5 linked regions of the Canis lupus familiaris genome follow. The protein of the gene in region 1 interacts with the protein of each later gene in a biochemical or structural test. Links are inferred from orthologs where the notes say so. Each region holds a gene or a part of one and is shown on either strand. Other genes may lie near its edges. The genes, in order: RHOA, SMURF1, PKN2, DIAPH1 and CIT.

Region 1 (5,725 bases):
GCTGCTAGCACCTAATATATTGGCCCCCATAATTCCATGTCCTTTCATCCTTCTCATTTTTCTGCTTTACCTTACTATCCCTTTCTGTTCTAGTGCCTCAGTTTGTGGCACTGTGTTTGGAAAGCACATTAAGCCAGCTATTCAGAATTCTAGGGTCCCTGAAATAAAAATGCTTGGTAGTAAGTAAGTAACCTCCAAGTTGAGAGAGGGTACTGCCTCAGAATGTTCATTTAAGAGTATACAGTAACAGAGCCTAGGAAACCGTCAAAGATTCTAGGTGATTGTGTCCCAGGAACATACCTACCAAAAATGGAAAAGCCCATTCTAACAAGAGATAGGCCCAATACCCTGAACCATTCATTTATCAGCATATAGGGTTGGATGTGTCTCACTGAATACACATGAGGCATGAAGGGGCCAGGGCAGCGTGATTTGGCAGAGAGTAAATGTTCCAGTCTGTTGTGAGGATTGGGTATCAAAGTATTAGAAATACACATATCAAACTGATGGGGGGGTGTGTGTGTGTGTGTATGATAGAAGTGCAGGTGGGCCTCGTGGAGGTTGTGAGTGATGCATCCTAGGGCAGAGTTTGAGGGTGGAAGAGATAATTAGCCATCAACTTTAAGGAAAAGATGTTACTTAGAAACTTTGAAATATGGGCTGTGAAAGTTCTAGGAGGAAAAAAAAAAAAAAAGGGTATTCCAAATACTAGGAGAGCTTTGAGCACCATGGGGTCGCTAAGCAGAAGATGTTAAAATCCCATTCTGGTTGTGAGAAATCACAGGGCTGGCTGCAGTGCTGGAGAACATGGAGGGGGACCTCTGTCCAGAGCCCAGGCATTAGCTTGCCCTCCTACCACAGGAAGGTGAGCAGGTTTCCAGGTGTGAAGGGAGTACTTTACTATCTTAGTGATGCTTTCATTCACATTTTTTTGAGCAGAAAAGGCAGGTCCAGAGACCTTTCTTGTCCACTGAGACCTTGCCTAACACCTAGCCTGGTGTCTTTTCTTACCCACCAATTCAAATACCATTTTTTAAAATTTTTTATTTATTTATGATAGTCACACACAGAGAGAGGCAGAGACACAGGCAGAGGGAGAAGCAGGCTCCATGCACCGGGAGCCCGACGTGGGATTCAATCCCGGGTCTCCAGGATTGCGCCCTGGGCCAAAGGCAGGCGCCAAACCGCTGCGCCACCCAGGGATCCCACCATTTTTAAAAAAATATTTTATTTATTTATTAGCAGAAGAACAGAGGGAAACAGAGAAGGAGGAGCAGACTCCCCATTGAGCAGGGAGCCCAATGTGGGGCTCTATCCCAGGACCTGGGACCATGACCTGAGCCAAAGGCAGATGCTTAGCTGACTGAGTTACCCAGGTTCCCCTCAAATAATCTTGTATCCATGTTTGCACATTGGGGCAAAATGATGAGAAAAACATAAGGAAAGGGTTATATTAGAATATATAGGGGAAAGTTACTCACGTCTAGTGTTTCTCTGTCATGTTTTGTATACTTGGTAGAATGTTGTTTATAGTTGATTTTCCTTGTTCATCTGCTTTTCTGTGTATAATGTTTATAATTAAATACTGTGCTTTTTACAAGATAAGTAATTTTTGACTCGATATTTTGAATTATGTACTTTATATACTGCTAGTATTTTGAGAAATTTCAACCTAAAATAATTTAAACACACCCTCTGCCTCAGGTTTGTTTTACTATTTTGGACTATTTGCCATATTCTGAAAGTGGGTAGGATTAACCTTGCATTCTTACGTTTATTTTTCCTATCACAGGTAGAGTTGGCTTTGTGGGATACAGCTGGGCAGGAAGATTATGATCGCTTGAGGCCTCTCTCCTATCCAGACACTGATGTTATACTGATGTGTTTCTCTATTGACAGCCCTGATAGCTTAGGTGAGTAGCCCTGCAGTCTGTTGTTTGTCACTGTGTGCCTGTCTGACACTGGTTTCTCAGGTCCTTTTTCATGCATCAACTGGTAAAAAGCAAAGATGAACTTCAGAGAAGGAGTCATCAGTGGCTGGAGTAGAGGCTTCGGACTATAGAGCCTAAGCCTTGGGTCACTTTTCAGCCTAGGTCTCCTATGGCTGCCATGGTCTCTACCTTGTAAAGTAGGTGGGTTATCAAATACAAAGCCATCTTTTGGACTAAGATATTGGAAAGGCTTTTTTGGGTGCTCACCTTTTTTTCAGTACTTCATATTGAGCCTGTTGCTTCCCGATATCAAGACTGGTGATTTGCTGTTTCCTGGTATTGTTTTTGTTTGTTGTTTAAAAGTTTATTTTTTTGAGACACAGAGACCACTCAGGGAGGGCAGAGGGAGAGAGAGAGAGAAGGAGACTCCACTGAGCATGGAGGTGGATACAGGGCTTGATTTCATGACCCTAAGATTATATCTGAGCTAAATCAAAGAGTTGGATGCTTAGCTAGCTAAGCCACCCCGTGCCCCTCCTGGTAATGTTTTTAAAGCCACATTTTAGCCCTTTTCTAAAGTATCTAGGCTAATAAGGAGAGACTTGAACTTGACCATTTCACTAGCTCAGTTGGTCACACATCTGAGAAGCCACTGTCCTTCAGAAAGAGACTGAATAACACTGACCTCACACTCTGCAGAACAAGGCACCGGGGCCTGAAACAGAACTTACTTTCAGTTTGTGCTGATAAGTTTGAAATGTCTCATGGTGGGCAGCCCCGGTGGCGCAGCGGTTTAGTGCTGCCTGCAGCCCGGGGTGTGATCCTGGAGACCCGGGATTGAGTCCCGCGTCGGGCTCCCTGCATGGAGCCTGCTTCTCTCTCTGCCTGTGTCTCTGCCTCTCTTTCCCTCTCTCTGAATAAATAAATAAATAAATCTTTAGAAAAAAAAAAAAGGAGGAAATGTCTCATGGTGATGTGCTGTCTTTACAAGGTAGCAGTAAGGCCAAGAATATTGTTATCATTAACACAAACCATCTTGGAGGGCCTGCTGGTGATTTGGGCTTGTGCTGGCCAGTTATGGTTATGTGACCTTTTTTTTTTTTTTCATGGTTATACTCATTTTAATGAAAATACTTGGGCACTCGCAAGAGTTTGAACCACTTTATCAAGGTTATGCAACCCAAGGAGTCAAGCTGAGACTGAGCTCTCTGTGCAGTGTCTCCCAGGACTGAGACAGAGCAAGTCCTCTCTGCCATTGGTTAACTTTGGTCATTTTCAACAGTTGTTTTAGTTCTGGGTTTTCAAACAAATCTGGCTTGCTTTGGGGGACTGTTGGAAGGCCCTAGAGGGTAGGACAGAGCTTCAGGTCACAGAAAAAACAGAGACATGTGATACCCTCCCTTCACACACACAACATAGATTATGTCTAAATCCTGTAGGAATGAGGAAGAACGTGTGCCCTCTATCTCATCATCCAAGGTATAATCCTCTAGGGACAGAAACATATTCGGAGCAAAATGTTACTTGTCTTCATGTCTCCTGGTCTCAAGGGAGGTCTTTAGCCGCCCCTCCCCCTTTTATTTAAAGTAGGCTGCCCAGTACAGGGCTTGAACCCAAAGCCCTGAGATCAAGACCTGAGCTGATTTCAAGAGTTGGATGCTTAACTGACTGAGCCACCCGGGTTCCCTTCTTTAGCTTTTGATTTCTCTTTACTAGCCATGAGTTGTTTCTTGATGGCCCTTCTCCCAGAAGGCAGGCCCTGGGGAGGAGAGCAGAGGTAGAAAGTAAAGAGGCAAAGAGAGATTGATCTCCTCTGAAATACAAACACACCTAGGGAGAGGGTCTGATGTTGGAGGATGCTCTGCCTTCCCTGGAGGTCCTTGCAAGAGTGTGATTGTTAGGTGGAGCTCCTTTGCTGAGCTAACTAGCTTGGCTTTGCCAAAGTACTTTTAAAAGTTCTATTGTTGAAGGTGCCTGAGTGGCTCAGTCGCTTAAGTGTCTACCTTCAGCTCAGATTATGGTCCAGGGTCCTGGCATTGAGCCCTGCATCAGGCTCCCTGCTCAGCGGGAAGCCTGCTTCTCCATCTCCCTCTGCCATTCCCCCTATGTATGCTCTCTGGCTTTTGCTATCTCTCTGTCAAATAAATGAAATCTTAAAGTTCTGTTGTCTTGGCTTGGATAGGGTGGGGCGAATCCCACCAGTAGTTGGCCGAAGTAAATAAAATGTGTTACGGGAACTCAAAATCTGGATCAAGAAAATAAAAAGCTATTGTCAATCTAATGTTATACTTTGGTTTTACTTGCTTGGATGTTAGACTATTGCCTTACCTCTAGGTATAGGATAACAATTTTGATCAGGAATCAGGATGTTGTGAAAGTTTCAGCCCTGCTGTCTGGACTGGCAGCTGGTCTAGAGTCTATAATACTAGTTTGAGACCTGGGGTAGCAAACTTACAAAAGACCGAATAGCAAATGTTTTAGGCTTTGTTGGCCATATATTCTAGTAAACTTTGCCACAACACTCAATTCCACTGTTGTATCACAAAAGCAGCCACAGAAAATATATAATGAATGAGTTTGTCTATGTTCTAGCAAATCCCCCCCCCCCCCTTTTTAAGATTTTATTTATTTTAGAGAGAGAGTTTGAGCGAGTCAGGGAAAGAGCAGAGGGGGAAGGAATGAGAATCTGAAGCTGACTCTGTGCTCAGCACAGAGCCTGACATGGGACTCAGTCTCACGATTGTGAGATCATGACCTGAGCCAAAACCAAGAGTTGGACTCTTAACAAACTGAGCCACCCAGTCTCCCCACTTACTTACTTACTTACTTATTTATTTATTTATTTGCACATGCAAGAGAGAAGATGAGGAGGAGGGGGAGAGGGACAAACAGACTTCTCACTGAGCAGGGAGCCTGACTCAAGGCTCTATCCCAGGACCCTGAAATCATGATCTGAGCTGAAGTCAGATGCTTAACCAACCAAGCTACCCAGGTGCTGACAAGATTTTATTTGTTGACCCCTGATCTAGATGATAAGGATTCCTTCTCCTGGTTTTCTGGAATTCCCAAAGGCCATCATACAACCCCACAGTAAATCCATGCAAGGTGCTATGCCCCAATGTGATCAGATTATTTTAGGGGTAGGAGAGATTATAGGTGATTGACATCACTGAATTTAAGAATAAAGTTTTGGGGCAACTGGCTGGCTCAGTCAGTAAAGCATGATACTCTTGCTCACACTGGGCATGAAGCCTACTTTAAAAAAAAAAAAAAAAAAATGGAGGGGATCCCTGGGTGGCTCAGCGGTTTGGCGCCTGCCTTTGGCCCAGGGCACAATCCTGGAGTCTCGGAATCAAGTCCCACGTCGGGCTCCCAGCATGGAGCCTGCTTCTCCCTCTGCCTCTCTCTCTCTATGTCTATCATAAACAAATAAAATCTTTAAAAAAAAATTATTCATGAAAGGAGGAGGCAACACAGAGGCAATTCATTTTAATTTTTGTGTCCTACACTCCCAAGGGATGGGGGACTATTGGGAGTAATAATTTCATATATTCAAATAATTATTGAGCGCCTATTTATGGAAGAAACTTCTAGATTGAGACAGAAGAGCAAATACAACAGTAAGTCCAAGAAACATAACAGTAGACCTGATAGCAAGAAATTTTACAGATAACATTCTCAGAAGTGGTTATGGGATGGGCCATGGTAGTATTCTGTTTCAGAGGATGACCATATAGGATGGTCAGCAACCTTGCTGAAAAGGTGACTTTTGGGAGAGACCTAAAGGAACTGAG
Region 2 (5,725 bases), on another chromosome or scaffold:
ACCATGCCAGGCATGGAGCCTACTTATGATTCTCTCTCTACCTCTGCCCCTTCCTTGCTTGCATGCGCACTTTCTCTTTCTCGCAAAAAAAAAAAAAAAAAAAAAAGTCATAAATTTTTATGGCAAAATAGAATTTGACAAGATAGAAGATTATGAAGGGCAAAAGTCATTCTTATTCCCTGTCTCCCCAGACTCTGAAATATCTTCTCCTCACTTAAGTGTTAGAAACATGTTAAAGTTGGAAATTTAAAAAGTATCTAGAAAGAACCAAAAGAAAAATGAAAGTGCCCCAGACTGCTAATTCTCAGGTTAACTATTGTCAACGTATCAGCGTAAATCCTCCTTTTTCTCTTTGCTCCACGGATAGTTTTTTCCTGTTGTGTGTACATGTGTGTGCATGCACACTCTTTTTAAATAAAAGTAGGATCTTAGTTCTTATTGTACTTTTGTCCATCATTACCACATCATGAACATCATCACCTGAGATGTGGATCTTTGCACAGTAGCAAAGAAAACTCCAGCTGAGGTGCAGGAAAGCTGACAAGATACGTGTCGAGAACATTGCTTGCAGGAGGCGGTCCCGATTCTGGTCCATCTGGTTCATCAGCTTCAGAACCATCGGGGTTTGGGCCATAAAAGCCATCTGTCATTCAGTCAGAAGTGAGTTATTACTTCCCAATCAATCTGTGCAAGTCACTTTCTTTCAGAGCAGGACATCCCTCCAGTGTGGCCTTCCAGGGCACAGGCAATGAGTCTTTTGGGTAAGACATAAGATTAGATATTTCACACGTATAAAATGGCTTTCATGTTATTGTTCCTAGGGAGTGGCTTTATTTATTATGCCATGAAATGTTGAATCCATATTATGGACTCTTCCAATATTCTACGGACAACATTTACATGTTGCAAATCAACCCGGATTCTTCAATTAATCCAGTAAGTATTCACGCTTATAAAGAGGGAGTGAATTGGAAAATTTTTGTAAATAGATATTCAGGTTTGGTCTCAGTTTATTCATTGTAGACTTATGCAAAGTCTCTGACAATAGATACTGAAAGGTAGAGTGGGAACTGGATTGAGATGGAGGCTTTCTCTCCTGTGTGTCCCATGCCTGGGATCACTGGGTATTTTGTTTTCAAAGACAGAAGTGAAAATGAGCTGCTCGGAATGCTCAGAGCCCTTTAATCACCAATTGGGGGAACTGAGGTAGTAGGACTGTGTTTGTTGACCGTGTCATTCTGAGACGTGGGCTACATAGTCGGTCCTCCTCCTAATCAAAATGGGAACTTCCCCAACTGGCCTTTTGGGCCACCAGTGCTGATAGTCTTAGCTGCTTGCTTGAGAGGAGGCTGTAAGTGTGGAGTGTTTGCGTGACCAGCCCAGAGTTGGGCAGCAGGTGTTTGGGGGCTGTCCTGTGGGGCAGGGCCCGTGGTCACCGCTACCGCTACCGCTGCCGCTGCCGAGGCCAAGGCCCCTGAGGCAAAGCCTGGGACCAGCTCTACACTACAATCATTCAGGTGTGACAGAGTTCTTTACCAAAATGGAAATGAGGTTTTGATGAATTCTGATTATAATTCCAATGGAAAGCAGAGATGTGTGTTTTCCTGTGAAAAACCAGAGCAGCTCTAGTTTTAGAATGGTCCTCTTACACTTATTTTCCTTTCTGTTCCTTTTTTGCTGTTTCTTCTTCTTTGCATTTTTTTCTCTTCCACTTTCTCTAGGGACTCGGGGAGGGATGGTAGAAGAAGGAGGGGATTTGCCATCTGCTTGCTTTCTCTGTGGTGCAGCAGGGAGACGCGGGGCCAGCTTCCTGGGCACCTTGCTCTTTGGAGGACCTGTGCTTGGTTTCATTCCCTGCAGTTGCTGTGTTGAAATCCTTAACAACTTTGGAGTAAGGGGCCCTGCATTATCCTTTCACACGGAGTGCCGCCAGTGACGTAGCAGTCCTGAGCAGGTGTCTGAATTAAGGGCATGTAACATGTTCAGATGATCCATGCAGAAGACGTGCTCCAAGTTTTGACCACCTAACCTGCTCTCTTTCCTATGTCTGAGAGCACAGCCTGTGAGGGATGGAGTCAGGGCCTGGCTGCAATGAGACAGTTTTCCCAAAAAGCTTGGAGGCAGCACAGGGTCTCTCCACTCTGGCTCTGCCTTTTTCTAATGACTTCGTGTTCTCTGGTGCCCCCTACAGGACCACCTGTCTTATTTCCATTTTGTGGGCCGGATCATGGGTCTCGCTGTGTTCCACGGGCACTACATAAACGGGGGCTTCACGGTTCCCTTCTATAAGCAGCTCCTGGGGAAGCCCATCCAGCTCTCGGATTTGGAGTCGGTGGACCCAGAATTACACAAGAGCTTGGTGTGGATTCTGTAAGTACAGCCTCACCGTTCAGTTCATGGAACATTCGTGCACAGCCACCCATCTTGTGTGCCAGACTATCATTCTGTATGTGTGTGTGCATGTGAATGCTTTTGAGGGGTGGGTGTGAAGTTGGTGCAGAGAAATAAAGAAACACTGATTTACAACCAGAAACATAAAAGAAGATTTAACAAGAAATACTCTGTTGACTGGCTTTTTTCATGATGTTTGGCCAGTTTCACTTCATAGGCTCATTTCTTTTGCTGTTTCCTCACATTTTTCAGGTCTGATCACAATTGGTCCCCAGGCCTGAGAGGTGGGTGGGTGGTTTGCTTTTGACTCTCTAGGGGGGCTCTGGTTAGCAGGTGGAGGGAAAGTATCAAAAACAAAATCAGCATCAAAGTATCTTATGTCAAAGTATTTGCTACAAGAAAAGTATCAAGAGAAATTATATTCAGTCACCTTTTTTTTTTTTTTTTTTTTTTTGTTTATGATAGTCACAGAGAGAGAGAGAGAGAGAGAGGCAGAGACAAAGGCAGAGGGAGAAGCAGGCTCCATGCACCGGGAGCCCGATGTGGGATTCGATCCCGGGTCTCCAGGATCGCGTCCTGGGCCAAAGGCAGGTGCCAAACCGCTGCACCACCCAGGGATCCCCATATTCAGTCACCTTTGTTTCAGAATTATCGTGGGCAGCCTGGGTGGCTCAGTGGTTTAGCATCTGCCTTCAGCCCAGGGCGTGATCCTGGAGACCCGGGATCGAGTCTCATGTCGGGCTCCTTGCATGGAGCCTGCTTCTCCCTCTGCCTCTCTCTCTCTTGGTGTCTCTCATTAATAAATAAATAAAATCTTTAAAAAATAAAAATAATTTTAAAAATTTAAAAGAATTATCCTAACATACCCTTGCAAGCAGTGGGCCCAGTTGCATGGTGAGCAGCGTGTCACAGGTCCTCACACGTGAACTGATCCCACAGCAGCGGGAGATCCAGGCTCTGGCAGAGGGAGAGTCTGGTCTTGCACTCTACCTCACTTCACGTGGCCCTACTGGAAATGGGTAGTCTGTGAGGGGCAGGGAGATATTTCCCTCTGTTTCGAGAAGTGTGGCAGGTGGAGGAGCCCATCGAGACTCTCATGTGCTACTTTGTGTGAGGGGCTGCCTTAAAGGGGCGGGAGGACAGTATCATCTGAGTGTATCTCCCTGCAGGTTGCTTTCTCATTGACTCGGCTCTTCATGCATCCCTCTCTTCTGTTTATAGACTCTGTTTACAAAGCAGTCAGGTCACTGTGTCTTGTAAAATCACAGGATGACAGAGCCACTGTCACCTTCCTGTGAACGAGGGGAGCCAAGTATCAAGGGTGCATCGTGGAACCATGGTCCCCCGGCACCTCCCGCTCCAAGTGTCCCTGGCCTGTCCCAGGCCCTGTGTCTGCCCAAGGCTCCCCACCTGTCCCCACTCAGCTCTGGGGGTAGCAGTCAGTAAATGCCATTGGTCCGTCCATCCATCTCCTGGACTGTTCCAGCTCCTGTTCTGTTCACAGCTGTATTGTGGCCATGGTCTGACATCCGTCTTCTGTCCTAACTTCCACAGAGAGAATGATATCACCCCCGTGCTAGACCACACTTTCTGTGTGGAACACAATGCTTTCGGGAGGATTCTTCAGCATGAACTAAAACCCAATGGCCGAAATGTTCCTGTCACAGAGGAGAACAAGAAAGAATATGTCCGGTAATGTTCCAGGGAACCGTGGTGGCTGCCCATGGGGACGTCCAGATGCCTGGGACCATCCTGGGTTCACATTTAGATTGCCAAAGTTCCTTCGCTGTTTGAGGCTTACCCATCCCGGCCGGCACTTTTGATCAGAATCACAGTCATAGAGCAGTCGGGTTCAGCAGTGGGGCTCTGTGCAGAGGAGCCCCGATCCCACCAGGGCTGACCTGGTGAAGGGAGACTAATGAGCCCAGAACCCAAGTGGTGGAAGGGATTGCAGGTGGCCTTCCGATCTGGGTGTGAAGGTGGTGGGCGCAGGAGAGACTTGGAGCCTATTAGTTTCCTTGAGAGCAGTCTCCAGGAAGTCTGCTTCACTGTGGTCTGTTTTCCTTCCCACCTCTGATGGCAAATAAATGACTAGTCATTTACACTAGAAATCTGGAAGCATATGGGCTTGTCGGTGTGCTTAGGCTGCCAGACTGGTGTGTGGCTCTCACGGTGTCTCGTGTTTTATTTTCAAATCTACTTTTCAGTTATGCCACTTGCTGTGACAGGTCAGGTTAATTCCTACTGCTGTTTTTAGCAAAGCACGAGAATATGTCAGGGCCTGTGCTGACTTATTTTTAACCTGGTACTTCCAGCTGGTGGGGGTTTGGTGCCCCCCAGGGGAGGCCTGGTGGGCAAGGCATTAGCTTCAGCAGGTGATGTCAGAACCTATTGTGAGGAAAAAATCTTTCCCGTGAACTATTTGCTATTGGCTTTAACTTGTGACTTTGTCTTCCAGGTTGTATGTGAATTGGAGGTTCATGAGGGGGATCGAAGCCCAGTTCCTCGCTCTACAGAAAGGGTTTAATGAACTTATTCCTCAACACTTACTGAAGCCTTTTGACCAGAAGGAACTAGAGGTGTGTGCTCAGCGGGACGAGCCAAGTTAGCAATAGAGGTCTCAGATGCCTTGTCTGACAGTGTGGCTTGCCTGCTCCCCAGCAAGGCTGGGGATTGTCAGGGTTCCAGAAGAATAGAGCTAGAGCCAGTGGGAGTCGAGGGTGTCTGAGCCTGTTTATGTCCACGCCGAGGGGCTGTCTGCTTTGGTGGAGTGAGTCTAGATTCTTCTCTGGATGTTGTGTGGGGCGTTCTGTGTCTTATCATATTTTTTAGGAGCTCTAGCCCTGGAGGTTCCTAAACCCCCTCCTGTGTATCCACCTCAGAGGGAAGAAATTATCTGCTCTCACCAGATTCTCCCACCACGTCAGCTTTCTGTTTTGGCTCTTGCTATTATTAGACTCAGAACAAAGTGTTACTGTCTTCTCTAATCACACTTCATGTGCTCGAACATAGTGGTTCATTCATCTCTAATCCACCTCCGATGCCAAATGGCTCAGGGCTCTGAAATCCTTCTGTCTTTCTGTCCCTGGTGAGGTGTCACCCGCGGCAGGCAGCAGCTCTGAGCGCCCTCCTTCCCCCAGTGCAAAAACACGTACGCAGCTCCTGGTGCGGTCCCTCTGCTCCAGATCTTGAGCTCCACCTGTCACGGCCCCTGAGCCCCCCACCCCCACCCCCGGATGTGCCCCTTTTTTACACTTGGCCCCTTTGGTCTTGCCAGTTGGTTCTCTTGTACCAACTCCTCGTGGATGTGGCACAAAACCACAAATGAATGTGG
Region 3 (5,725 bases), on another chromosome or scaffold:
ATAGTAAATAGGTACTCTCATCTTGACATTTAATACATTGCATTGTAGTGAACATTGTCTATGTCTTCCTTCTACACTGGGTAGCTTCTTGTTTCTTATTCAGCTTTGTTTCCATAGAGCATATATAACATAGTACTTGACACATCTTAAGTATTCAGTGAATGTTTGATTAATATAAGTAATTGGGTGAATGAATGAGTGAATTTGTAAATATATTTCCATCAGTTACCCACCAACCTCTTAATCTGAATCCAGTAATACTTTTTTTCTCTTACTGGATTTCCTTGTATTGAACACTGCTGATATAAATGCTTTTGTTCCCCAGAATTTGTCCTTAGCCTATTGCTCTTCACTGCTAGTTTTTAACTACAGGCAATATGCTAATAATTACCAGATCCATTATTCCTTTCCTAACATATATATTCAACTATCTACTTGACAGCTTTGGTCAGTAGTTATCTCTAACACTATACAAACCAAAATCATTTCTTTTTTTCAAATAGTCTAGTTTGTAGTTGATGGTGCCACAGTCTTCTCAGGCTCCCAACTTGAAAATGTGTTATTATCTTGGATTCTGTTCTCTTCACTTTTCCACATCAAATTAATAGCCAAACTGTGCTGACATCTGCCTTCTTAATATTTCTTAAATGTTTCATTTCCCCTCTACTATTGCTAGCTATCCTCTTGTTTGACAAAACTAATAGCCTCTTTGCCTTTCCTCTCTCTAGATTTTTTTTCTGCTTCAAATCAACCTGTCATGTAGTTGCTAAAATGGAAAAAGGGCCCATGTAAATAAAAATCTGACCATCGGGATCCCTGGGTGGCTCAGCAGTTGAGTGCCTGCCTTCGGCCCAGGGTGTGATCCTGGAGTCCTGGGATCGAGTCCCACATCAGGCTCCCTGCATGGAGCCTGCTTCTCCCTCCGCCTGTGTCTCTGCCTCTGTCTCTCTGTCTCTTTTTCCCTTTGTTCATTTGTTTTGTTTCTTAAATTCCACACGAGTGAAACCTTATGTATTTGTCTCTCTCTGACTTATTTCAATTAGCATTATACTCTCTAGCTCCATCCATGTTATTACAAATAGCAAGATTTCATTCCTTTTTATGACTAAATAAGATTCCGTATTGTGTGTGTGTGTGTGTGTGTGTGTGTGTGTGTGTGTGTGTACATCTTCTTTATCCATTTATCTATCAATGGACACTTGGGCTACGTCCATATTTTGAATATTATAAATAAACATAGGGGTTCATATATCCTTTTAAATTGTTTGAGTGTTTTTATATTCTCTGGGCAAATACCCAGTAGTGTGATTACTGGATCATAAGGTAGTTCTATTTTTAATTTTTTGGAGAACCTCCATACTGTTTTCCACAGTGGCTGCACCAATTTACATTCCCACCAACAGTGCATAAGGGTTCTTTTTTCTCCAGATTCTCGCCAACACTTGTTTCTTGTGTTTTTTAATTTAACCATTCTGACAGGTGTGAGGTGGTATCTCATTGTGGTTTTGATTTGTTTTTTTCCCTGATGATGAGTGATGTTGAGCCTCTTTTCATGTGTCTATTAGTCATCTGTATGTCTTCTTTGTAGAAATATCTATTCATGTCTTCTGCCCATCTTTTAATTGGATTATTTGTTTTTCAGGTATTGAGTTGTATCAGTTCTTTATATATTTTGGATGCTAACCCTTTATCAGATTGTCCTTTGCAAATATCTTCTCCCATTCAATAGTCTGTCTTATACTTTGGTTTATGGTTTGGTATAGAAGTTTTTATTTTCATGTAGTCCCAATAGTTTACACTTGCTTTTTTAAATTTTTTTAAAGATTTTACTTATTTATTTATTTATTCCTGAGAGACACAGAGAGAGAGGCCAGAGACACAGGCAGAGGGAGAAGCAGGCTCCATGCAGGGAGCATGATGCAGGACTGGATCCCAGGACCCTGGGATCACAACCTGAGCCAAAGGTAGACGCTCAACCACTGAGCCACCCAGGTGCCCCTACACTTGCTTTTATTTCCCTTGTCTCAGACGTATGTAGAAAGACTTTGCTATGGCTATTATCAGAGAACTTACTGCCTGTGCTCTCTTCTAGGATTTTTATAATTTCAGGTTTCACATTTAGGTCTTTAATCCCTTTTGAGTTTATTGTATGATGTAAGAAAGTGGTCCAGTTTCATTCTTTTGCATGTAGCTGACCAGTTTTCCCAGCACCATTTGTTGAAGAGACTTTCTTTTTCCCATTGCATATTCTTGCCTCTTTTGTTGAAGATTAATTGGCCATATAATTGTGGGTTTGTTTCTGGGGCTTTCTACCTGTTCCATTGATCTGTGTGTTTCTTTTTGTGCCAGTACTATAATGTTTTGATTACTATAGCTTTGTAGTATAACTTGAAATCTGGAATTGTGATAACTCTAGTTTTGTTTTTCTTTTTCAAGGTTGTTTTGATGGCTAACTCCTAGTTATCCAAGGATTTGCTTTTTTGGTATTTTCTATACCAAATGTTATTTTTCTAATGAACCAAATAAAATATTTGAAAGACTGAATTTGAAAGATAATAGAAATTGAAGCTAAAAATCAGTTTTTTGTTATAACTTCTTAGCATCACTTCTAAAGTAATGACAAGAGAGAAAATAAGTAAAATGAAATATAAAAATTTTATTACCCTTAATACCCTTGTTAACTTAACTTTGAACATTCTAAGCATGAATAAATTAGTAGCTGAGTAAATGATTGACCAAAATATTTATTTTTACCTATTAATTAAATAGTAGAGTTAACTATTGCACAGTTTTCTCTACACCAGTCCTAATATTTTCTTTAGAAGTCTGATATATCTTGAGTTTGATCACCATACACAAATGTGGAAATTTAATTTTGTTTCCTAGGGATATAGTCTGATGTTTTATCTATCATCTAGGTTTTTTCTTTGCTAACAAATACTTAAATTTTACCTTTTCAGGAATGGGATATGGAGATAGAACAAGCACATTTTGTGGCACTCCTGAATTTCTTGCCCCAGAAGTATTAACAGAAACATCCTATACAAGGGCTGTAGATTGGTGGGGACTTGGTGTTCTTATATATGAAATGCTCGTTGGTGAGGTAAGCAGTATAAAATAGATGAGAGAGAAATGAGGAAAGATGACTGAAAGAACAAAAGATGTCATTTATAAATGACTTAATGTCTCCCGCATAAGTAGAACTTAAGTTTTATACACATTTATAATATACTAATAATTGCCTATGATTCTATCTTGTACTCTATACCTCTATACCTGTAACAAAAAGTCAGCTGTGTGTTGATCAAAATACATATTATCTTCAAAAACAGTACCTCAGAGTTAAAAAGATTAACATTTTTCCCCTCCTGTTTTTTTTTAGATTAACTTAAATTTCTTCGGGGGAGGGGGCACCTATGTGGCTCAGTCGATTAAGTGTCTGATTCTTGGTTTCAGCTTAGGTCAAGATCTCCATCATGAAATCAAATTCTGCATCCAGCTCCTTGCTCAGCATGGAGTCTGCATAAGATTCTCTCCCTCTCCTTCTGTTCCCCCCCACACCCCTACTCATGCATGTGTTCTCTCTCTCTCTCTCTCTCTCTCTGAAAAAAATAATCAATTTATGGAGATAGCTTAGTTTTACACAGAAATTGTCACTCCTTAGGAAACGGTGAGTTATATCTAATAAAGCAGCAAGAATTGGCTAGTCTATTTTGTTATAAATTGTTGGAAATGATAGAGTGGAATTGGGAAAGGGTAAATATTTAGACAAGTCATTGAAAACTGCTTAGAGGGGCTTACTGATTTGGGGTTGTAAAAAATGAGGTTGGTTCATTATTTTGCAGGTTTCCCAGTACCAGCAATCTTCTTTGAACATTCTAAGCATGAATAAATTAGTAGCTGAATAAATGATTGACCAAATTATTGAATGTCAGAAATTTCCAAAGTATTATCATTTAATGATATTTGTTCCAGACAAAGGATTTTAATCCATCCAAACGATAGCCCTTTTGGTATGTCAAATTGGAGTGGATACTTAGAAGAGGAAAAGAAATAGCTAATTAAAATGTTTACCATGTGCCAGGCACTATTTTATTTACTTTACAAATATTAGCTCATTTAGCTTTTCAGCAAACTTTAACAAGCTCAATACTAGTCTTAGGCCCATTTTAAGGTATATAAATGGAGGCACAAAGAAGTTAATAACGTGCTTGAAGTCACAGAGCTCTCGTGTGATGGAGCTGGGATTTTTAAGGCTCTCTGTTTTAAGAACCTCTCTAAACCATTATGCTTTGCTACGTCAGAGTGTGGAATTAAGTTACCAAAAATTATATGCTTGCTTAAAATTTATTCCACATATTAGAGCTGATAGGCAAAAAATGTGAGTTTATTATAAAATACTACAGAATTAAGAACCAGTTGATTCTATCTCCTCCTATCCTAAAATGACTGGAAAACTTTGCAATGGACAAATGAAGCTCCTGTTCTATATTTTTTTAAAAGAGCCTCTAATTGATTAACCTCCTAATTACAAGAATATAAAAGACAAGGGATTCAGCTCTTCCATCACAAATTTTTATTGCAATATCCGTTCTCTTTAGCACCTTTGTAAGAGGATAGTTGGGATAAGAACTGAACTTAAAACTTAACCATCATACTTTATAATTTTTTTATACTTTATAATTTTATAGCGTTGGTAAAATTTTAGCAGTAACTACTAACTGTGATAAAAAGGTTTGGCTAAAGTTTATATCTAATTTCTCTATTATTACAAATAATTGAAAACTCACTGGATATATCATGCATTTTCAAATTTGTTTTTGAAATTTGTATTTATGTTTCTTTGGGTTTTGAGAACTAGAAAGACTCCAGGAATAAACTAACATACTAGGTCCTCTTTCCCAGTGCCAAATGAGAATGAAAGTATCAGAGAAGTTTAAAGTAAGCTTAGATACTGAACAGACCATTGCATTCTTTTTATATTTGCTTAAAACACATTTGTTAGCATTCTGTTGTTAGTTCTACTAGCTTATAATCGATTTGCAGAAACAAGGAACTTTAACACCTTAATGAATATGTGGGTATATCTTCACTATTCAAGGATTTGTATTTTTTAAATACAAAATTGATCAGAGAGACCAATGCTTTGTGTTACCACTTGAAATTCTGATTGAGAATCCATGTGAAATAGAATTTTCCTCTAATTTGCAGCTGCCTCAATCCCAGAAAGAAATTATATTATCCCACATAGTAGATATTTGATTTATCTATTTGATTTATCTATTCTGAGTGAGTGAATGAACAAAACTAAGGTTATGATCATTGAAAAGTTTGAAATTTCCTTAGATAAGAGCAATAAAATTGGCAGCTCAGCTTTAGGAAGTTGGGTTCTAAATTCATTTTCATAGATTCAGATCAAAGATCTTTCTCTTTCCAGTAGTATTGCTTTCTCTTTGGTCCTTAATCATTAATAACTTAACAGGAAGTAAGCCTGTAAAGAAGAAGTAAATCTTAAGTCCTCTCAGATTGTGAGGTAATAAGCCATATTTCATAGCCACATTTCAACATGGTTTAGCTTGTCCCTTTGTGCATCAAATGGTTATACTGAATGTAATTTAACTACTTTTTTATGACTTAGGGTCATTACTTTAAACTCTGCTTCCTGAGATACCCTAAGACTGGTTGTATATCAGGCTTAAGTTAAAAAAGCCTAATGTATGCTTTT
Region 4 (5,725 bases), on another chromosome or scaffold:
TTAAGAAACTCAAAGTTTTTTTTACTTAAGTGTTTACTTTTTTACTTAAGTGTTTTTGGGTATGTTGTGAGCAAAGGGGTTACTTGGGAAGTCTGCACTGAGTTTGCCAGCCTGAACACCAAGAGAAGGAAGTTCAAAACTGCATTAGGAAAGACAAAGGCAAATTAGCTACCACGATTACAGTGGTAATTACACATGGCATCAGGTCCCTACACAGCACTTCTGGCTGCTACCTGAGGCCTCTGTGTATGGTATTTAAGACAACCATTTTGTTCCCAAGAGACACGTTCAATAAGCCCCAACATTCAAACACCTCTTGTACCACCACAGATTAACACACTGACTCAAAGGAAAAGAAAGCAGGTAGAGAGAAGAAAAAAAGTAAAACAGGTAGCATTAAAGTCGGTAAAATATTAAAAATCCAAAGAAGAAATAATTTTTAAAAGGGGGAGGTAGTTCTTTTTCGGGAGGAAATGAATGAAAATATAGACGTAGCAAGGGCGACAAGCAGCAGGCAAGTTCTGATGTGCTGAGTGCTGCAAGTAGGTCAGAAACAGGTAAACAAATACTCAGGATTATATTTGACAGGGAAAAAAAACAAACCTCTCCCAGGCATTTCTTTAAAATCATTAAGATTTAGAATGTGTGGGAAACTGCTCATGATTTAGTAATTTTCAAGAACACATCCCCTAGTGTGTCCTAATGAAAAGAGGAAGAAATTAGAGTGTCAATTTAACACCTCAAAGTGCTAACTGAAGCAAAAGATAAAGACAAGCTAGAAATTTCCTCCATCACAACAGCAGCAATCTAGTAGTGCAGATTACTACCTGAAGATCAGTATTCCACTAAATTAAAATGACTAATTCACATTCATTTTTTAAAATCAGAGTAATACACAGAGTTTTCTAAGAATAATTAGAGGGGGGAGCCAAGGCTGGTAGAAAGTTAGAACCTTCCATGAAAAGAAAGTAGTTTCCAGGGCAGAATCTGAGAGCTGAAGGAACATTAAAAAATCTGGTTACTTGGGATTCCTGGGTGGCTCAACGCCTGCCTTCGGCCCAAGGCGTGATCCTCGAGTCCTGGGATTGAGTCCCACGTCAGGCTCCCTGCATGGAGCCTGCTTCTCCCTCTGCCTGTGTCTCTGCCTCAATCTCTCTCTCTGTCTCTCTCTCTCTCTCTCTGTGTCTCTCAAGAATAAATAACTAAAATCTTAAAAAAAAGAAATCTGGTTACACTGCTAAAAATGACGAAAGAGATATGGTCTTCTTGGGTATTTTTAAAACACTATCAATTCACAGTGCGAATAAAATGCCAAGGAAGAGCATGAAACTGCAAACCACCTAACTATAATCCCTAGTAATGCAAATGTACAGAAGAAGGGGGTGACAGGCAGGAGGAATAGGGCTGCCCAGTGTGAGTGTGCAGTGATGCTCAGAGGACAGAGATGCTCAGAGAAAGGGCCTTATGCCACAGGCCAACGTAGGTGTATATTTTGTGAACTTACAAATTAGGAAGTCATTTGATTTTGAGTTTCTCGGTCAACTAGTCTTCACTGATATACAAGAATAGCCTAAGTGGTCATTATCACAGTATTTTTCACTAAACAGGTAGAAGTAATCCTCTTGACTGAGCTTTAGTTCAGAAGATGACAGTGCTTCTAGAGTACAAGGCCACTTTGCGCTGAGTGAAGGGCAAGAGATCACACCTGGGTACAGCGATCTTACACTCTCAGATACACACACATAATTAGAGGCCACCAAAGGCACCTAGCAATGTTAGGCTCCGTAAGAGAACAAAGTGCAGCCTGGTTCCATCAGTTCACTTAAGGAAAAAAAAGAATAAATGTTTATTTACTGGGGGTGGGGAGAAGGCAGAGAGAAGAGGGGGAAATGCTCAAAAGTTGCACTTAATTTTCATCACTAGGGTCATAATATACCTCTAAGGAAACGAAGAGACACTGTAAGATGGAAATACAAAATGATTATGCTACGAATGTCATTAAATTCAAATACTGTATCCCTCAAGGAAATAACTACAAGTGCCCTGTCACAAGATAGCACAAAACCACAAGAATTAGGAAGTGAAGAAAGAAGAGGGCAAAACAGATCAGCTCTTCTAGAGCAAACGGGAAGATATGAAGGTGAAAAAGAAAAGCAAAAATTTATACCAAAAAAAAAAAACACAAAAAAACAAAAAAAACCCCACACACATGGACCAGAAGACAAGATCCCTGGATTTGGTCATTTAACCTTGGGCAAGCTACCTATTCAATTCAAACATGCTACAGAATGTAGCAAGTATATGGCAGCTTTGACCTAAACTTAAAACAACTGTCTATGCTGTCAGTTAATATCACAGTTACTGGTCCTTCTGGACTCTTTAAAAAAGGGGGGGGGGGGCAGAAAATAAATCAATCCTCTATCTCAACTCAGTTTTCTAAGAAATTCCTTTACATCTGTTACATCTTTTGTCTAATGTTCACGATACCCAATTAATAGGCTCTTCTGTATTCTTACCTTTTGAAGCTGGAGGAGCAAAGGGCCAGGAAGAGGAAAGCATCAGATATTGGAAAGAAATGTAAGAAAGAAAAAGCATCACATATGGTTGTTATTGTAGACAGTCACTCAATCACCTAACCTGTTAAAGACTGGCCCAACCCTTATTAATTAAGTTTGTAGGTCTGGGATGGTACCTTAAAGACAGGACCAGAATCAGTTCAAGAGTATTATCAAAATGGGCCCCCTAATAAGCTTCCTGTCACCTTACTCTCATTCCCCAACATGTTATAATGACAAAAAAAAAAAAAAAAAAAAAATACCTACATGCAAAAAAAATGGGAAAGAAAAATAACAAAATGCAACAGTTTTCTTTCCCAACCCCAGCATCCCTGGGATCCAAAAATATCTGAATTTCTTCCAAAGGGGAAAAACTACCTCTCTTCAACTCTCACCCAGGGAAAGGAATGGAATGGGAGATCCACCTAAAGGATATTCTAAGTCCTATACTGGACCTGTGCACGGAAGAGGAAGGTACTCACTCTTGGTCTGGGCAGAAAAGGTAAGAGTAAGTTTGGCGAAAAGTTCATTGTTCTCAAAGCGGTCCTCCTTCACCTTTGTCCAGAAGCAGTCCTGGGACAAGTCCTCAGCAACAAACTGTAGATACAGGCAGGGTGTTCAGAGTTACTAAGCTGAGCCTTGTACTTTCCATCCTAGAAAACTGACTAAGATGCAAAAAAGGGGAGTGATGGTTCTCAGCATTGTCTCACTAGGGGAAGATTAATGTGAGACACAGAAGAGCTGCACTCTTTGTGGTAAGGTCAAGACACAGTGCTTCCACTTTTTTTATTGGTGTTATTCAAGAGCTAGATCCAATTATGCTACTTACCCTCCTTCTAACCTCAAATCCTCTAGTTTTAGAAAAATCGAGGCTTTATTTTACATCTTTCCTTGTTCTACAACATTTTTTCCCATCAATTTGGCTAACTATGACAAATTTGTTCAATTTATAAATAAATCCCTCAGCTCCTTTAACTTGGTTTCTGGAAGCAGAAGGGTGATGCAGAATCACAGGGGCCTCAATTACATAGTGGGGACAATACTGTGCCATGCAAACATATCCTCTCATTTAGCTCATTTATAGGGGAGTGAGATAGCAGGGTGTATCCATAAATCCACCATTTTCAGATCAGCACTACTATCAGCAGCTTGCAGACTGATGAAATGACTGTTGTCAAATTCTCTGTTACTATGGCAGGGTTCTCATACCCTGAGAAAGAAAGACCAAAACATTAACTTAAGGATTTGTTTAGCTTTTGTAGCAGAGTATAGGGCCCAAAGAATTCTTCAAAGTGATGTCTGGCATACAGAAGATGCCTAATATGTGCTGAAGGAACATAAGCGTGAGTGGAACCTGAGAAAGACAGATGCTAGCCCTAAGAAAGGGAAGCCCTTCAATCCCTAGGTGGCTCAGTGGTTTAGTGCCTGCCTTCGGCGCAGGGTGTAATCCTGGAGTCCCGGGATTGAGTCCTGGAACATGAGGCTCCCTGCATGGAGCCTGCTTCTCCCTCTGCCTATGTCTCTGCCTCTCTCTTTCCCTGTGTCTCTCATGAATAAATAAATAAAATCTGTAAGAAAAAAAAAGGGGGGGAAGCCTACCTGGGCACAAAATACAAAATAGGAAACTGAATTGGTTTCTTACTACCTATTGAGGAAAAAATGGAGAGAAATTCTCACCTTGGACCAGTTTGGCCTTCGGAGTTGCACCTCTGGCTTATAAAGCTTCTTTGGGGTTAATCCAAATGGCAGAACTGGGGCTACAGGAACTCCAAATCCAAAAGGCGGAGGTGGAGGCATACCCATTCCAGGAGGAGGTGGAGGAATTCCAGGACCTCCAGGAAATGGAGGGGGTGGAGGGATTCCAGGACCACCAGGAAGAGGAGGAGGAGGAGGTGGTGGCATGCCTGCTCCTCCAGGCAAAGGAGGAGGTGGGGGGATGCCAGTACTCCCGGGCAAAGGAGGAGGTGGGGGGATGCCAGTACTCCCAGGCAAAGGAGGAGGTGGGGGGATGTCAGTACTCCCAGGCAGAGGAGGAGGTGGGGGGATGCTAGTACTCCCAGGCAAAGGAGGAGGTGGGGGGATACTAGCATCCCCAGGCAAAGGAGGGGGTGGGGGGATGCCAGCACCCCCAGGCAGAGGGGGTAGGGAGATGCTACCATCCCCAGGCAAAGGAGGGGGTGGAGGGATACCAACACCCCCAGGCAAAGAAAAGGGAGGTGGTGGAGGAGGAATGGTATCATCTCCAGGAAGAGGAGCTGGGGGGGGTATGCTAGGCTCCCCTGGTAAAGGAGGGGCTGGAGGTGGAATAACAATGCCAGGAGTGGGGGCAATAGTAGCATTGCTAGGAGGGGCCACAGCAGTAACTGCAGCAGAGAGAGAAGCCACTTCTTTCTTGGCATCTTCCAGTTCCTTGGACAGCTTAGCAACCTAGAGGAACAACATCAATGGAAGTATTATTCCTCACTCCACATCAGGGTCTACTGGGCTTGGGAAGGACCTAAAAAACTACTTAGTCCAGAGTTCTCATTTTACACATGAAGACACTAAAAGGAGTCTGACAGATGAAATGATTCCCCCAAAGTCACACAGATATCTAGTGGCAGACCCAAAACTAGAACTCAAGTCTTCATGTTCTTAGTTTGGCATGCTTTGCATTAAAAAGGCAACTTCAACCTTTATGTGAAATTGTCCCTTTAATTAGAAAAAGCAAAGTTCAAGTAAATCAATTATTCTAAAGAAATAACCACATAAATGATCAAGATATCAGATACCACAGATCATTAGATCATTTAAATCATATTAACTGCAAAGAGAGTGTGAACATTAATCTGTTCAGAAACAGCTAAAATAAGAGAAAATTAGCAAACATACGAAGAGTTTTTTTGGATTTTACTCCTGAATTTATGAGACAACTATTAGTTTCATTTCTGGGTATTACTGTGACTTCTTTTATTCTCCGTATTGCTCATCTTTCCCAAATTTTCTATCGTATGTTTTGAAATAAAATAAAATAAAATAAAATAAAATAAAATAAAATAAAATAAAATAAAATAAAATAAATAAATAAAATAAAATAAATTAAAATAAAATAAAGTAAATGATTTTTAAAATAAGCATCATCTAACTAGATCACCTACTGGTAGTCAAACCCTCTCCCGGAGTAAGATAAC
Region 5 (5,725 bases), on another chromosome or scaffold:
AGCATAGGTAGTGGTGTCGAGCTGGGTTTGAATCCTGGCCCCAGCGCTTGTTAGCTGTGTTACCTGGGGTGACTCCGTTGCCTTCTCTGCATCCATTTGCCACTCTGTCAAATAGAGGTTATAGCACCAAATTCACAAGGTTATCATGAGGATTAAATGAGATAATTTATATTAAGCGCTTATTAGTTATAATACTGATCAATTTATGTTTACTTAGCAATAATTATATTTAGGAAGGTGTTTATGCAAGGATACCTGTACAATGATAAATACTGATACTTTCTTGATGACATTTCCCCCAAAAATATTGGTATTGGGGAATGTCCAAACAGCTCAGAATGGAGACAGATCGAAAGCTTAGGTTGTGGTGTTAGGACCATTCCTGTTACGGTTTTAAGTCATGAGATATTTTTCAAAAATGAATAGTTTGTCCCTAACTGTAGGTGACTGGAGTGCTGCTGTGCTTTAGTTTCTTTACATTTAACTCCAAAACTTTTCCAATTTATTACAAAATTGACTAAAGGCATTATACTGTGCTCCATATATAATAATTGTGGCTTCCAATGTGCTGGGTACAGAACCAGCATGCTCCTGATTATCTTACTTCAGCTTCATAACGGACGTAAGGACTATTCTTATTTACATTTTAAGTAGGAAGAGACAGATACTGAAGGAGGCAAGGACTTGCCCAGGATCACGCAGCTTGTAAGTGACAGAGCCAGGTTCCATTTTTATTCTGACAACAGAGGCTGGGCATGTAACCACTGGCAACGCTGCCAGCATATGTCAGAGTTTATTAAGTGTGTATTATATTTAAATGTCATTATAACAGTAAGGGTTGGGGGTAAATCCCCGGTTTATCTTTTTTTCATGATGAGTTCTTCCCTGTCCCTGGGAAAGCAATTATTCACAAGCGTACCATACACCTAACATTTGCCTAACCTGGTATGGATACTGTTCTTTTCCCATGTAATGTAATTTTAACAAGGTTTAGGTAGGATAATGATTTTGTTTTCCATCTAGGTAAGGACTTTAGACTGGGTCTTAGTTTCTACTTAACATTATACTTAACCTGCCAAGGAGTTCTGCGTCAGCGGTCAGAGACTTCTAGATTTTTGAGCCAGCGCAATTTCACAGATTTGCTAGGCTGACATAGGTTAACCAACTTTTTATTTTGTCAAGTAAGAGATGTAAAAAGGATATAAAAAAACAGATATAGAGAAAAGCCTATTACGTTCTGGTCCTTTCATTATAAAGAAGGGACATTTTAAGAAACAGCAGAGAAAGGAGACATTATTTCAGAATAAAAGAGCACTTTAAAATATGAATATAGTTAGCCTTATAGATAAGTCATCATGTGCTGGTCATGTTTTCTCATTTCGTGGCAGACTGGAGAACTTTGTTAAACATCAGCATGGTGGTATTTTTGGGAGTTTGTGACAGAAGTATAACTAAAGTGACAGGTATGGTGGCTTGTGGCCCAGGGCTTCTCATACTTGGCCGAAGCTTGAATCTCTTGGTGAGCTTGTTGATAAAACATGTTCTAAGCTACTAACTGGGAAATTCTTGTTCAGTAGGTCAGGGATAGCACCAGAGTATTTTGTTATTGTTGTTTTGTAGCTAAATTCTTCAGGTGATTCAAATGTAGCCAGCCTGTTTCTATTATCCAGTGTAAGAAAACACTCTCAAAGTTTAAAGCAGTAACGATTTATTTTTTCTTCTGATTCTGTGGGTTGTTTGGAATCAGCTAGGCAGTCTTCCTGTTCTACCCCGTGATATCAGCTGGGGTCACTCAAGGGGCCATATTGTGTTGGGAGCTTGGCTGGGGCTGGAACATCTGGGCACTGCCTGCTGGCTGGTGCATCTCAGTGTCCCTCCAGCTGACTTCTCTATGAGGCCTTTCATTAGCCAGTAGTCTGACCCAGGCCTTGTAACTTTCTTTTCTAAATAATAAATATTTTAGGCTTTGGGGTAGCTGCAACTGTTCACCTCTGCCACTGTAGCACAAAAGCAGCCACAGACAATATGTAAATGAGTGGGTCTGGCTGTGTTCCAATAAAACTATTTATAAAAACACAGTGGGGCCAGATTGGCCTATGGACCATAGTTTGCTGACCCCTGGTCTAGCCTAAGCTTTTTTACATGGCGACTGGCTTCCCAAAAGAGCAAAAGCAGAAGCTGCTAGCCTCCTTGAGAGCTCTGCCCTGAACTGGGGCAGTGTCACTTGTGTCACCTGTTGCTTGAAGCAAGTCACAGAGACAAATTCAAGAGGAGGGGAAATAGATTGTTAATGGAGTGGTGGCAAGCACATGTAGAGATAAAGGGCCTGTAGGGGGCCATCTTTGCAGAGATATCACCACACAATCCATAGCCTGGCACATAGAGATCATTTTTTAAAAACAATTTTTATTTATTTATTCATGAGAGACAGAGAGAGAGAGGCAGAGACGTAGGCAGAGGGAGAAGCAGGCTCCATGCAGGGAGCCTGATGTGGGACTCAATCCTGGGACTCCAGGATCACGCCCTGGGCCAAAGGCAGGCGCCCAACCTCTGAGCCACCCGGGCATCCCAGATCATTTTTTTTTTTTTTTAAGATTTTATTTATTCATGAGAGAGAGAGAGAGAGTGTCAGAGGCAGAGACAGGGAGAAGCAGGCTCCATGCAGGGAGCCTGATGTGGAACTCGATCCTGGGACTCCAGGATCACGCCCTGGGCCTAAGGCAGGTGCTAAACCACTGAGCCACCCAGGGATCCCCATGCACATGGAGATCATTGCTCTAGACCAAAGGTTGCAAACTCATGTCTTTGGGGGCTAGGCAGTGAGTATGAGTGAGTCACATGGGCCCGATAGAAGACTGGCAGTCAGATCTACGGTGAACTGCAGAACACATTCTCTACACAGAGGGGCAGCATCACTCGAGAGCCACTGTTTTTTTTTTTTTTTTGTAAAGATTTATTTATTTATTCATTAAGAGAGAGCGAGAGAGAGGCAGAGACACAGGCGGAGGGAGAAGCAGGCTCCATGCAGGAAGCTCGATGTGGGGGACTCGATCCCGGGTCTCCAGGATCACACCCTGGGCTGCAGGCGGCGCTAAACCGCTGCGCCACCAGGGCTACCCGAGAGCCACTGTTTATCACCAGACAAGAATGTGGGACAATCACATCGGGCTCCTTGCATGGGGCCTGCTTCTCCCTCTACCTGTGCCTCTGCCTCTCTCTCTCTCTGTCTCTCACAAATAAGTAAATAAAATCTTAAAAAAAAAAAAAAAAAAGAATGTGGGGCAATGTGGCTCTATCCTCCAGTGTTTCAGGAGAACCCCCAGATCCTACCCCTTCTTTCGGGTAAAATTTCCTTATTTTTCAATATTGGCAGATAATTCAAATTATTTTAAATGCTGCAGGCCCAACAAAACATGTCTGTGTGGGTTAGATGCAGTCTGCCAGTTTGCAACTGTTGGTCTGGATTATGAAGAAATTCAGCTTTAGAATGGTCACTCTGCCCATACTACTCTAGATTGTTTGAGAGCATTAAAGAAACTGCAGTTGGGACGCTGGGTGGCTCAGTGGTTGAGTGTCTGCCTTTGGCTCAGGGTGTGATCCCGGGGTCCTGGGATTGAGTCCTGCATCAGGCTCCCTGCATGGAGCCTGCTTCTCCCTTTGCCTATGTCTCTGCCTTCTCTCTCTGTGTCTCTCATGAATAAATAAATAAAGTCTTTAAAAAAAAAAAAAAGGGAGGTCATTGTCGTTTAAAAAAAAAGAAAAAAAGGAACTGCAGTTATATTAGCAAGCCTCCAGGCACACTCAAAAGAAGTAGCAATCATTGTGTCCTATTGTAGAGACATGGAAACATGCATGTCGTAACCAGCAGGGTCCAGAGTAAATGTTCCCATGAGCCTCAGACTGTTAAGAAAGAAGAGCCTTTTCTTGTTAATGGCATGCTTGTGAAGCTTTTCTTCCCAGGTGCTGGTGGAAGAAATCCACGGTAATGGAATCGTACAAGTGATAACGTAATGACTCTCAATTGATGTTGCTTTAAAGAATGAAGCCCCAGAATTGTGCTGTTAGCGTGTGTCGTGAGCAGTTAGAGTTGGTGGCTTGTAATTTACTCTGTGTGGATGTTATTGATCAAAGCTTTTCATTATTGACAGTGTCTCCATCTGCTGTTTGCTGTTTTTAGGGGAAACCACCCTTTCTGACTCAACAGCAGATGTCTCCTCTTTCCCGAGAAGGGATATTAGATGCCCTCTTCGTTCTCTTTGGAGAATGCAGTCAGCCTGCTCTGATGAAGATCAAGCACGTGAGCAACTTTGTCCGGAAGTGTAAGTTTGGAGAAATTTTTCTTGAAAACCATTCTGCCAGAGAAAACTGCAAAGATGCTGGAAGCCAAATGAGTTAGTGGTTGGTGGTAGTGGGTAAGAACTCTGCTTGGAGGAAGAGAGACCCAGTTTCTTTCTTTTTTCTTTTTTTTTTTCAGACCCAGTTTCAAGGTCAGTTTCTATCTGCTGCAGTTAGGAGGCCAGATAAGTTAGGTCTCATGGTTGCAGGTGACAGAAACTTAACTCAAACTAGCTGAGGCCAAAAAGTGAATTTAGGGCTCATGAAACTGAGAAATCTAGGGTTGGGTTAAACTTTTGGTATAGCTGGTTCCAGCTGTTAAGCAGTGTCCACTGGCTCCATCCTTATACCCACTCAGGGCTGATAATCTAACAGGCATAGCAAGCACAGTGCTTAGAGCCCACAATATTTAATTTTAATAAATTGAACCTCTTTTCACTAGTTAAATTAATTTTGAAATAATACGAAAAATATGGTTATAATAATAATGATTTGGGATTTTATTCATCTTTATGACAATGTCATCATAAAATATAATTTTGACTTTTTTCATAGTTTCTTTTTTTTTTTTTTAAGTAGGCTCCATACCTAGCATGGAGCCTGACATGGGGCTTGAACTCATGAAATCAAGGGGCTTGACCCTGAAATCAAGACCTGAGTTGAGATGAAGATTTGGATGCTTAACTAACTGAGCCACCCAGGCGCCCCTTGACTTTTTTTTTTAATGGAAGAGGGGGCTGAGGAAGGGAAAGGTGTCCGGCCCTATGAAAGGCATAAATTGGCTGTGCCCACACCCTGTTCTTGTCTTCCTTGAGATGGAGGAGTTGGCTGCCGCTGTCTGAGTCCTAGTTTTGTATTCGATTACCTTACATCAGTGTTTTCCAACCAGTGGTGATTTCGCCTTCTCTAGACTCTTGGCAATGTCTGGAGGTATTATTTGTTGTCACAGCTTAGCAGGGGAAGGGTGCTACCGGCATCTAATGGGTGAAGCCAGAGATAATGCTAACCTTCTTGCAATGACAATAGCCACCACAGCATAAAATTATCTGATCCAAAATTTCAGTAGTGCCAAGTATGAGAAACCTTCCCTTATACAACTTTGCTGTGTAACCGGGCACCCTGAACTATTGTGGCCTAAAACAGTAATCATTGTCTTACCTCTCATGAATCTGGGGATTGACTGGGCACAGCTAGGATTTTTCCACTCCATGTGACTTGGGCTAAGATTGTAGGCACCCAGGACTCTCCTAGTCTAGAACGTCCCAGATGACTTGCTCAGTGTCTGGCAAGTTGCCCAGAAGGCTAGACTCAGCTGGGACTCGGGGGGTGATTGGGCCTTTCTCTGTTTCTGGGAAGTCTCGGCCTCTTGCTCTCTACGTGGCTTCTCCAT

What was found.
Region 2: the proteins of RHOA (region 1) and SMURF1 form a complex in vitro, tested with the Homo sapiens proteins (2 studies listed by BioGRID and IntAct, with this or other methods). The link is inferred for Canis lupus familiaris from reciprocal best matches to the Homo sapiens genes RHOA and SMURF1.
Region 3: the proteins of RHOA (region 1) and PKN2 form a complex in vitro, tested with the Homo sapiens proteins (2 studies listed by BioGRID, with this or other methods). The link is inferred for Canis lupus familiaris from reciprocal best matches to the Homo sapiens genes RHOA and PKN2.
Region 4: the proteins of RHOA (region 1) and DIAPH1 form a complex in vitro, tested with the Homo sapiens proteins (2 studies listed by BioGRID and IntAct, with this or other methods). The link is inferred for Canis lupus familiaris from reciprocal best matches to the Homo sapiens genes RHOA and DIAPH1.
Region 5: the proteins of RHOA (region 1) and CIT form a complex in vitro, tested with the Homo sapiens proteins (2 studies listed by BioGRID, with this or other methods). The link is inferred for Canis lupus familiaris from reciprocal best matches to the Homo sapiens genes RHOA and CIT.

What each region holds. Positions count from the first base shown.
Region 1 is NC_049241.1:40,285,673-40,291,397, forward strand, and holds part of RHOA (transforming protein RhoA), read left to right. Parts: intron 1-1,792; coding exon 1,793-1,913; intron 1,914-5,725. UniProt on the Homo sapiens protein: Small GTPase which cycles between an active GTP-bound and an inactive GDP-bound state.
Region 2 is NC_049227.1:10,567,019-10,572,743, forward strand, and holds part of SMURF1 (E3 ubiquitin-protein ligase SMURF1), read left to right. Parts: intron 1-821; coding exon 822-936; intron 937-2,191; coding exon 2,192-2,370; intron 2,371-3,945; coding exon 3,946-4,083; intron 4,084-4,849; coding exon 4,850-4,970; intron 4,971-5,725. UniProt on the Homo sapiens protein: E3 ubiquitin-protein ligase that acts as a negative regulator of BMP signaling pathway. Mediates ubiquitination and degradation of SMAD1 and SMAD5, 2 receptor-regulated SMADs specific for the BMP pathway.
Region 3 is NC_049227.1:60,078,053-60,083,777, reverse strand, and holds part of PKN2 (serine/threonine-protein kinase N2), read left to right. Parts: intron 1-2,960; coding exon 2,961-3,103; intron 3,104-5,725. UniProt on the Homo sapiens protein: PKC-related serine/threonine-protein kinase and Rho/Rac effector protein that participates in specific signal transduction responses in the cell.
Region 4 is NC_049223.1:35,675,263-35,680,987, forward strand, and holds part of DIAPH1 (protein diaphanous homolog 1), read right to left. Parts: intron 4,983-5,725; coding exon 4,233-4,982; intron 3,174-4,232; exon of another isoform or gene 3,153-3,173; coding exon 3,038-3,152; exon of another isoform or gene 2,922-3,037; intron 2,526-2,921; coding exon 2,517-2,525; intron 1-2,516. UniProt on the Homo sapiens protein: Actin nucleation and elongation factor required for the assembly of F-actin structures, such as actin cables and stress fibers. Binds to the barbed end of the actin filament and slows down actin polymerization and depolymerization.
Region 5 is NC_049247.1:16,225,477-16,231,201, reverse strand, and holds part of CIT (citron Rho-interacting kinase), read left to right. Parts: intron 1-4,177; coding exon 4,178-4,319; intron 4,320-5,725. UniProt on the Homo sapiens protein: Plays a role in cytokinesis. Required for KIF14 localization to the central spindle and midbody. Putative RHO/RAC effector that binds to the GTP-bound forms of RHO and RAC1. It probably binds p21 with a tighter specificity in vivo.